Rattus norvegicus: one gene and its partner. Each later gene encodes a partner of the first gene's protein in a complex. Links are inferred from orthologs where the notes say so. Each region holds a gene or a part of one and is shown in the gene's direction. Other genes may lie near its edges.

Region 1 (4,527 bases):
ATGCACGGCTGTTTGCCTGTATGGCTGTGAACGACCTGTGTGCTTCATTATGCCTGCAGAGACCAGAAGAAGGTTGAATCCCTAGAACTGGAGTTGCCCCAAGCTTATGAGCCGGCACGTGGATGCGTGGCATCAGATCTAGGTCCTTTAGATTAGGTCCAGCGCTTTTAACCAGCCCAGGCGTGGCTTTAATGGTTTTATTTCTAGCACTTGGGAGACTGAGGTAGGAAGATTAACTCCAGTTTGTGACCAGCCTGGACTACATAGTGAGGGCAGAGTTCTACAATAGCATGGGTAATAGACTAAGCTCTCTGTGAACTTGTAAGGACCTGCCAAAAATTCTTGAGTCCCCGTGGACAGTGGGGACTTCCTATAGATATTGAGAAATTGCCTCACGGTCAGTGCCATAGATAACCGGTTCTTTTCGCTTGCTCTGTGTGAAGCAGCCATATACCACAGAACATTCTTTTACGGATAGTGCAGACATTAGGACAGTGTCTTACTGCTGTAGTCAAGCAAACCAAAAGCAAGTCCATGAGGAAAGCATTTATTTCACCTTACATTTCATTAAGCCCATCTGAAGGGAAGTCAGGGCAGGAACTCAGGCAGAAGCCCTGGAGGAGCCTTACATAATGTTTGCTCTCCATGGTTTAGCCTGCTTCCTTATACATCCCAGGACCACCTTCTCAGAGGTGGCACCCACCCACAGTGGGCTGGACCTCAATCACTAAGATAGCACTGCACTGACTGACTGCCTACAGGGCAATCTTTTAGAGGCAATCGGGGTTCACACTGTCTCAGGACTTGGTATTTGCCTCAACTTAAAAACTAGCCAGCACTGAAAGTAAGATGCGCTACAATAGGCCGGATGTGTTTTCTCACTATTAGTCTTGAGTATCCATTATATGCAAGAGAAACCTTCCTTAGAGCCGGTGTATATCATTCTCCATTACCCTTTGATCCAGGGGAAACCTGATGGGTAGAGTGAAACTAGGGATAGTCACACCTGGTGTAAATTTGGCATTGGGGCAACAACCATCTAGGCTCAGAGGGTATGTGGCACAAGCTCTTCTCCTCACCTCTGGTGTGACACCCACCCCTGGTTTTTACACATCTTTCCTCAGGTGTGAACAACCACTGGGCTTTTCACCTATGGAATAAAGTGTGAAACCCCAGGAAGTGCAGCATTTTCCCATCTTATGCCCCAAAAGAAAGTTTGGAGATGGGAGGGTGTGATCAGAAAAGTGCGCCGTCCTAAAATCAAAAAGTCTTGGAGTTGACACCACGGCCTGACGGCCTCAGGCCACGCGCGTTGCCTGTACTGCAGAGCGCATTACCCTACAACCTCAGGTCCTCTCTCCTTCTGGTGGCAACAGGGCTTTCCGCGGGGCCGCGCCAGACTTTTTGAGACTGTTGATTGGCCGTAGTCCGGCCACCCAACAGCCAATCACGCAGAGGAAAGGTGACATCACTAGTTCTCCTCCCATCCCCCTACCCCAAACTTCTCTACTCTGGTTTACCAGCACCAACAACCACGTGGGGGAGGGGTAAGAGAGTAGAACCGGTGAGGTCATTGCGCCGCCCCAGCCGTTGCTGATTGGCTGCGGAGCTCGCGGGTGTCGGTTGGCTGCTCTTTGCACCTCCCCCTCGTGCCGCTTCAGCCGCCACTGCGAGGAGCCACTGGCGACGCCAGAGCCAGGAATCCGGGTGAGTCGGGGCCCTGGGTCTAAGATGTTCCCAGTGTCCAGCGAGACTCAGGAGGAGCTGTCCTTTCCGACTTTTTCTCTTCGCCCGGGTTCTTTGGAGCTCCATGCACTCCGTCACATGGGAGTTGTAGTCTGCCTTATGCTTTCGACTACGGGCCGGATACAGAAGACGACTACTATTCCCAGCAGGCATTGCGATCAGCTGGTCAACAAACCCTAGGGCCACGCCTCCCGAGCTTGTTCATTGGAGGTCATATCCTTTAGCCCCGCCTCCCTTCATTTCATTGGTTACTGTCCCACACAGGGGCTGGTTTCTTGCCTAACATGCATGGTGATTGGGTACTGTAACTGTCATTCGGCACATAAATAGTCTGTTAATTGGTTAAAGCAGATGTCCATTACTTGTTGTAAGGTAGAGTTCTAGGCAGATCAGGCAGTCGTAGGCTTAGGTTGGTGTCGGTCCCGGAGGGAGGCCGGTCTTGAAATTTGGCCCCGCCTCCTGGCGCTGCCGGAAGAGCGCAATTGGTGGTAGCGAGTGTCGCTTGCGGACAATAGGCGGAGCCGACTAGACTGAGAATATCTATTGGCCTAGGTTGGCGCCGGTCACCGGGGTTGTGGCCGTTTATTGGCTGGTTGCTCCAGCTGTTGCAGGTCCATTCACCATTTTGTGTGTTGGAGTAAAAAAAAAAGGGAGAATCGAGAGGGAGAGCCGGAGGGGGGGCGGGGAGGGACCGGACCGGACTGAGCCGGGGCCACGGCCCCCCGCCCCGAAACCCTGCGGAGCCCGAGGTGAAGGGCGGGGCCAGGGCTGACACTGCGTGGGGGTGGAGGGGAGCTGGAGGCCGAGAGGGGACAGGTGGCAGGGACGGGAAGGGGTACAGGGCAAAAGAGGTGGGTGGAATGGTGTGGGAAGGGGTGACAGAGTGGAGGAAGTGGTAGGAAGTGGGGAGTGACAGAAAAGAAGTGACTGGGGGAGAGTGCTGATAACAGGAATGGAGGGGTAACAGGACCAGATCAGGGTGACAGGGAGAGGAAGGGGACGGAGTTGGAGGGGGTGATGAAGAGAGGCGATGGCAGAGGTGTCAGATTTGGAGGTCTAGAGATGGCTGACAGAAGAGTGACTGGGAGGAATAGGTGATAGAAATAAATGGGGTGACCAGCAGGGGTAACTGGAGGGGGCCTAGTATCTGAGGAAATAAGGTAGAGGTGGTGACAAGATGGGAGAGAGTGGCAGAGAAGATGGTGTCAGGAGGGTGGATGGAAGTAGAGGGTATGAGACCCTAAAGGACATGGGGGTGGCCTCAGCTTCAGAAGTTTAACGTTCTGAAAGGGAGGTGAGGGCCCACAGGACCCTGGGTAGTAGTTAGCTATGGTGCACAGGAAGCGAGTAGGCCCCAAGAAAGAGAGGTTTGGCTCTGGGGTAAAGAGACCAATCCAGGTAACAGGGTTAAGAGATGTTGGTTGGTGTACTTGTCGGCCCTGGGTGGGGTCTAAAGGTTTATGTTTGGGCATTGTTTGTACCAGATCTCAGGCTCCAGAATGGTGTCCTCGCAAGTCAGTGGAGAGATGGCAGTGGAGTCTGCTTAGCTCCACAGCACTAGGGTGCTACTCCCAGGCCCTTCAGAATCTGCCTATGAGAACCCCAGATTGTCCCACAGAAGAAGGCCTCAAGTTAGAGAGCATGAGATCTGGGATCCCAGTCAGCCTGAAAACTGTCAGAGGGGTCTCTGATTGTCTTTGGGGTAATCTAGGACAACTCATGTTTGGCTTCTCAAGTTTTCCAAGTCACTTTGGAGTAAAGTTTTTAGGGGTTTTGTTTTGCCTTTTTTTTTTTCCCCTTCTTTTCTCAGGGCAGTGCGAAAGGGGGCGGGCAGAGTGACTGTTCAGGAAGTGGGGGAGGTTGCCTTGCTGGGCTTGTCCGGCTGTCTGTGCCCTCGTCCTTCTTGTCCCCACCTGGAGCTGGAGAGCATATTTGGGTATCTGAGGGTGCTGACCATTTCAGACACCCTGCCCAGCCTGCCCAGTCTGGGTGAGGAGACATGCAGGCCACAAGTGGGGGCTGGGCTTGCAGGCATCACGCTGGGTGCTGTTGGGGGAAGGGGAAGGCTCCCGTGTAGTGGGACAGAGAAACCCTGGGGTGTGCAGTTCTGTGTCCCACTGTGTGATGACGTGTGCTGCATTTGTGCGCGTGCCTGTGCTCATGTACAGTCCTGTGGCTGTGCTGGTATGAGCTCTTGCCACAAACGTGCCCCTGCCTGCTCCCTGCCAGGACCTGAGAAGATGGTTGTACCTGGCAGACCTGGGATACTGAGCAGAGTGGGCAACCATCCCTAGGGATTCTCAGCTGCCTACTCCTTCCCACAGTATCTGGCCATGCATGACTGCCTGGAGGGGTGGAGGGAAAGTAGAGGGAGGAGAGAGGCTTATATCTCAGCCATGTCACCTCCCTTTCTGTGGCTTGGTGCTTATGTGTGTCTCTGTGTGCATTTGTGTATGTGCACTATGTGATGTGAGAGCAAGCAAGCATGATGTGTAGATCACATGATGGGCAGCACACAGCAGTGGTTAGGAGCTCAGATTCTGGAGCCCTAGAGCACCTGGGTTCAGGTCCCCCCACCCCTTGCTTTGTAGGTGAATGATTGTAATCAAAGCACTTTTGTCTCTCTGCACCTTGCTTGATAGTAGCACTCACCTCTTAGGGCTGTTGGGCGGGGAAATTAGGCAACTTAGCTGAGGGCTTGGGACAGTGTGATTGCTCCGCAGTGTGAACCCTCAGGGATCCTCACACTCCTTGGGGGCACCTGGAACCTGTGTGTGCATA
Region 2 (3,809 bases), on another chromosome or scaffold:
TTGGGCTCATGGGTGAACTCTAATTATACTTTGATATTACAAGCAGCCTTAATCTTTCATGCTTTGGGAGTTTGTTATAATTATAGCTCTAGAATTCCTTACGTAACACTTCTATATTTCTTATAAAATTATATGTAGAACATAGAAATAGGATGGTATAGGGTATGTGTGCTTAGAGCTTGAAAGCAGGGCTTCATATAGGACATTTACTTTGTTTTTTCTTTTATACATTTATTTATTTATTATATGTGTGTGTGTATGTGCGCGTGCGTGTGCGCGTGCGTGTGCGTGCGTGCGTGTATGTGTGTGTGTGTGTGTGTGTGTGTGTGTGTGTGTGCAAATCAGAGAACAACCTGCCCATTCTCTCCTTCCAACATGTGGTCCCCCAGGGACTCACTCTGTCAGGAGTGGTAGTGATCACCTTTTCCCACTGAGCCATCCCTCAACCAAATGTTTGATTCTAAATTGATGTTCTTGAAGAGGACCAGAATTTGGTTCCCAAGACCTACATTAGGTGATTCACAACTGTCTGTCTATAACTCCAGCTTCAGAGGATCCCATTCCTGACCTAAGGCCTCACAGGCACCTAAATACAGATTGTGCACACACACACACACACACACACACACACACACACACACACACACACACACACACACACGTCTATCTCTCTCTCTCTCTCTATCTATCTATCTATCTATCTATCTATCTATCTATCTATCTATCTATCTATCTCCCAAATGATGCCCTCCAACCCCTTCACAGAGTTCCTCCCTCTTCCGTCCACTCCTTTACCTCCGAGAGGGCACCTCTGCCCCATATCTCCCACCCTAGTGCATCAAGTCTCTGCAGGATTAGGTGCATCCTTTCCCCCTGAGGCCAGACAAGGTAGCCCTCTGCTACATATGTGCCAGGGAATTGGACCAGCCCATGTATGCTCTTTGGTTGGTGGCTCAGTCTCTGGGAGTTCTCAGAAGTTCAGGTTAGCTGACACTGTTAGTCTTCCTGTGGGGTTGCAATCTCCTTGAGAGCCTTCAATCCTTCCCCTAACTCTTCCATAGGGATCCCCAACCTCCATCCAATGTTTGTCTGTGGGTATGTGCATCTGCCTCAGTCAGCTGCTAGGTAGGCTCCTGTCGTAATTAGGCCAGTTGCCTCCACTCCCCTTAGTTGTTATGCTGTGTGTCCATCAGTGGATTCGCCCGTCTGTGCCAGAACGCCTGAGTTCTGACACACACCTCTATTTGGACGTGGTGCTATGCACCTGTGCAGCAGAGGCAGGAGGACTACATCATACTTGGGGGTAATCTCCAGTGTAGAAAAATGTGGAACAACTTCCTTTCTGCCATCTTGTCCTGCCACAGCTTCTCAGCCCCTTTCTCTGACTTTTTTTTTTTTTTTAAAGTATGTGTGTGCCTAAATGCCATAGCACATACATGGAGATGAGAGGATATCTTTTACCATGTGGGTTCCAAAGATTGAACTTGTGTTGTCAAGCTTGGTGGCAAGCACCTTTCTTTATCCACTGTCTTTGTGGTCTCCATAGTTTTATTTAAATACAGTGGAGCTATGGTGATTCAGAATAGCCAGATACCTATATATTAAAGTTGTTAGCATGCTATATATTGGATAGATACTTTTGCTGTTGTTCTTAACTTTTTTCCCCCTTTCAACTCACAGAAACGATAGAAAATTCCCAAGGAGCCTACCAAGAGGCATTTGATATAAGCAAGAAAGAGATGCAACCTACACATCCGATCCGCCTGGGGCTGGCTCTTAACTTTTCTGTATTTTACTATGAGATCCTTAATAATCCCGAGCTTGCCTGCACACTGGCTAAAACGGTGAGATCTGTTGAGTTCATGCCTCTTTATAAGGGTGTTTAAGAAACTAAGTACATTAACTTTTAGGTATTTGGGTGCTCAAGGGAGGCCATTTTTATGTGTGTTAGACACAGTTTCTTCATTAGTGTCTCTTCCCCATACCTACCTCCCAGCCCCTAAATAGTTCTCTCACTGTGATTCTAAATAGTAATGTCTGACTGAAAAGCCTAGAGGGCAAAGTAGTAAAAGAAGTAAAAATAACTTTAGGCAGGAAACATCAAATGCTGGAAAGGAGTGCCTGCCAAGTTTGGGCAGTAGAAGCCTGTATCACCCTCCCCTGGTGTCTTAGAAGGGCAGTGTAACTACATTAGCTCTTGTAAGAATATGTAAGTGTTGTTAATATACTGTGTATCTTGTGAAAGAACCAACAAGTGTTTATGTAAATACTTAGAGTGAGTTTCACGATATAGTAATTCTCTTTATTTTATTTTATTTTATTTTTTTTTAAGAAGCAGAGCAAGTATTGCTTTAGTAAGGAAGGGTGAGGCCAGAACTCTCCCAAATGGGAGGAACCTGAAGGAAGAACCTTCACAAAATCTTAAACTAGATCTCCAAGGGACTACTTCCCTAGTGTTACCATAATGTGGTGGTACACAGGGTTGTATTTGCAGACTGGCTAGCTTCTGTTCCTGAATTGACTATATTACTCGCTGTTTAACTTTACCAGGCTTTTGATGAAGCCATCGCCGAGCTTGATACACTGAATGAAGACTCCTACAAAGACAGCACCCTCATCATGCAGTTGCTTAGAGACAACTTAACAGTAAGCTATTCCGTGTTGTATGTCTGTTTTCAGAAACAACAGTAACTTCATTTTGATGTTCATGCCTTTTGGAAGCAGGTATAGAAAAGCTATAGCCTCTTTGTTGTTATTTTGGGGACAAGGTTTTCTCTCTCTCTCTTTTTTTTTTTTTTTTTTTTTTTTTTCCCTTTTTTCTTTTTTTCGGAGCTGGGGACCGAACCCAGGGCCTTGTGCTCGCTAGGCAAGCACTCTACCGCTGAGCTAAATCCCCAACTCCCAAGGTTTTCTCTTGTGTAGCCTTGGCTGTCCAGGAACTCACTCTGTGGACCAGGCTGGCTTCAAACTCACAGAGACCAGCTTGCTCTGCCTCCCAAGTGCTGGGGTTAAAGGTGTGCACTAATACTGTATAACTAGAGCTCCATAGTCTCTTACAAAATTTGGAGAAGTGTCTTCATGGTGAAGAGGTATTTTATCAAACCTTTCTATGAAAGTTATAGGAACACAGTGTTATCATTGCTATTTGACTTAGTTGAACACAATAACAGTTAATGTAGAGAGCTTGTATAATTCTAATATTTCCTTTCTTTGAGTAAATTAGGAATAACAAATTAGGGATTCTGTATGTGTTAGAATCTCCTTATTTTACCAAAAGTTTACGTGGGAGGGCTAGAGATGATTGAGTGGTTAGGAACATCGATTGCTCTCTCAGAGGACCTAGGTTTGAGTCTCAGTGCCCACATAGTGGTTCACAATGGACAAACTCCAGTCCTAAGGGATCCAACACCCTCTTTCTGGCCCATGGACACTGTACATACACAGTATTCAGGCAGCATGCCTGTGCCTACAAAGGTTTAAAAAATTAAGTTGTTTTTGGACACTTGATAGAGGGTTTTCTTGTTTGTAGTCTATTGCACTGTGGAAACATGATGACTGAAAAGCATTGGGAAGAGAAGAATTTATTACAGTTTTTTCAGAATTGATTTATACTCCACCGTAGAGGGAAGTCAGGAGCTAGGCGGTGGTGGTGCACACCTTTCATTTCAGCACTTAGGAGACAGAGGCAAGAAGATCTCTGAGTTTGATTGAGGTCAGCCTGGTCTATAAAATGAGTTCCGAGATAGCCAGGACTACACAGAGAAACCCTGTCTCAGAAGAAGAGGGTAGTCAGAGCAGGAACTGAAGCA

Evidence for each region.
Region 2: the proteins of Cic (region 1) and Ywhaq are in contact, whole or in part, in a crystal structure (PDB 6KZG), measured with the Homo sapiens proteins. The link is inferred for Rattus norvegicus from reciprocal best matches to the Homo sapiens genes CIC and YWHAQ. Residues at the interface, in NP_001291744.1 of Homo sapiens: Arg1207, Ser1208, Met1209, Ser1210, Glu1211, Thr1212, Gly1213, Thr1214; in NP_006817.1 of Homo sapiens: Lys49, Arg56, Lys120, Arg127, Tyr128, Gly169, Leu172, Asn173, Val176, Tyr179, Glu180, Leu216, Ile217, Leu220, Asp223, Asn224, Leu227, Trp228.

Annotation. Positions count from the first base shown.
Region 1 is NC_086019.1:89,980,124-89,984,650, forward strand, and holds the start of Cic (protein capicua homolog 1), read left to right. Parts: upstream 1-1,619; 5' UTR 1,620-1,707; exon of another isoform or gene 1,708-2,495; intron 2,496-4,527. UniProt on the Homo sapiens protein: Transcriptional repressor which plays a role in development of the central nervous system (CNS). In concert with ATXN1 and ATXN1L, involved in brain development.
Region 2 is NC_086024.1:46,667,283-46,671,091, reverse strand, and holds part of Ywhaq (14-3-3 protein theta), read left to right. Parts: intron 1-1,680; coding exon 1,681-1,844; intron 1,845-2,550; coding exon 2,551-2,646; intron 2,647-3,809. UniProt on the Homo sapiens protein: Adapter protein implicated in the regulation of a large spectrum of both general and specialized signaling pathways. Binds to a large number of partners, usually by recognition of a phosphoserine or phosphothreonine motif.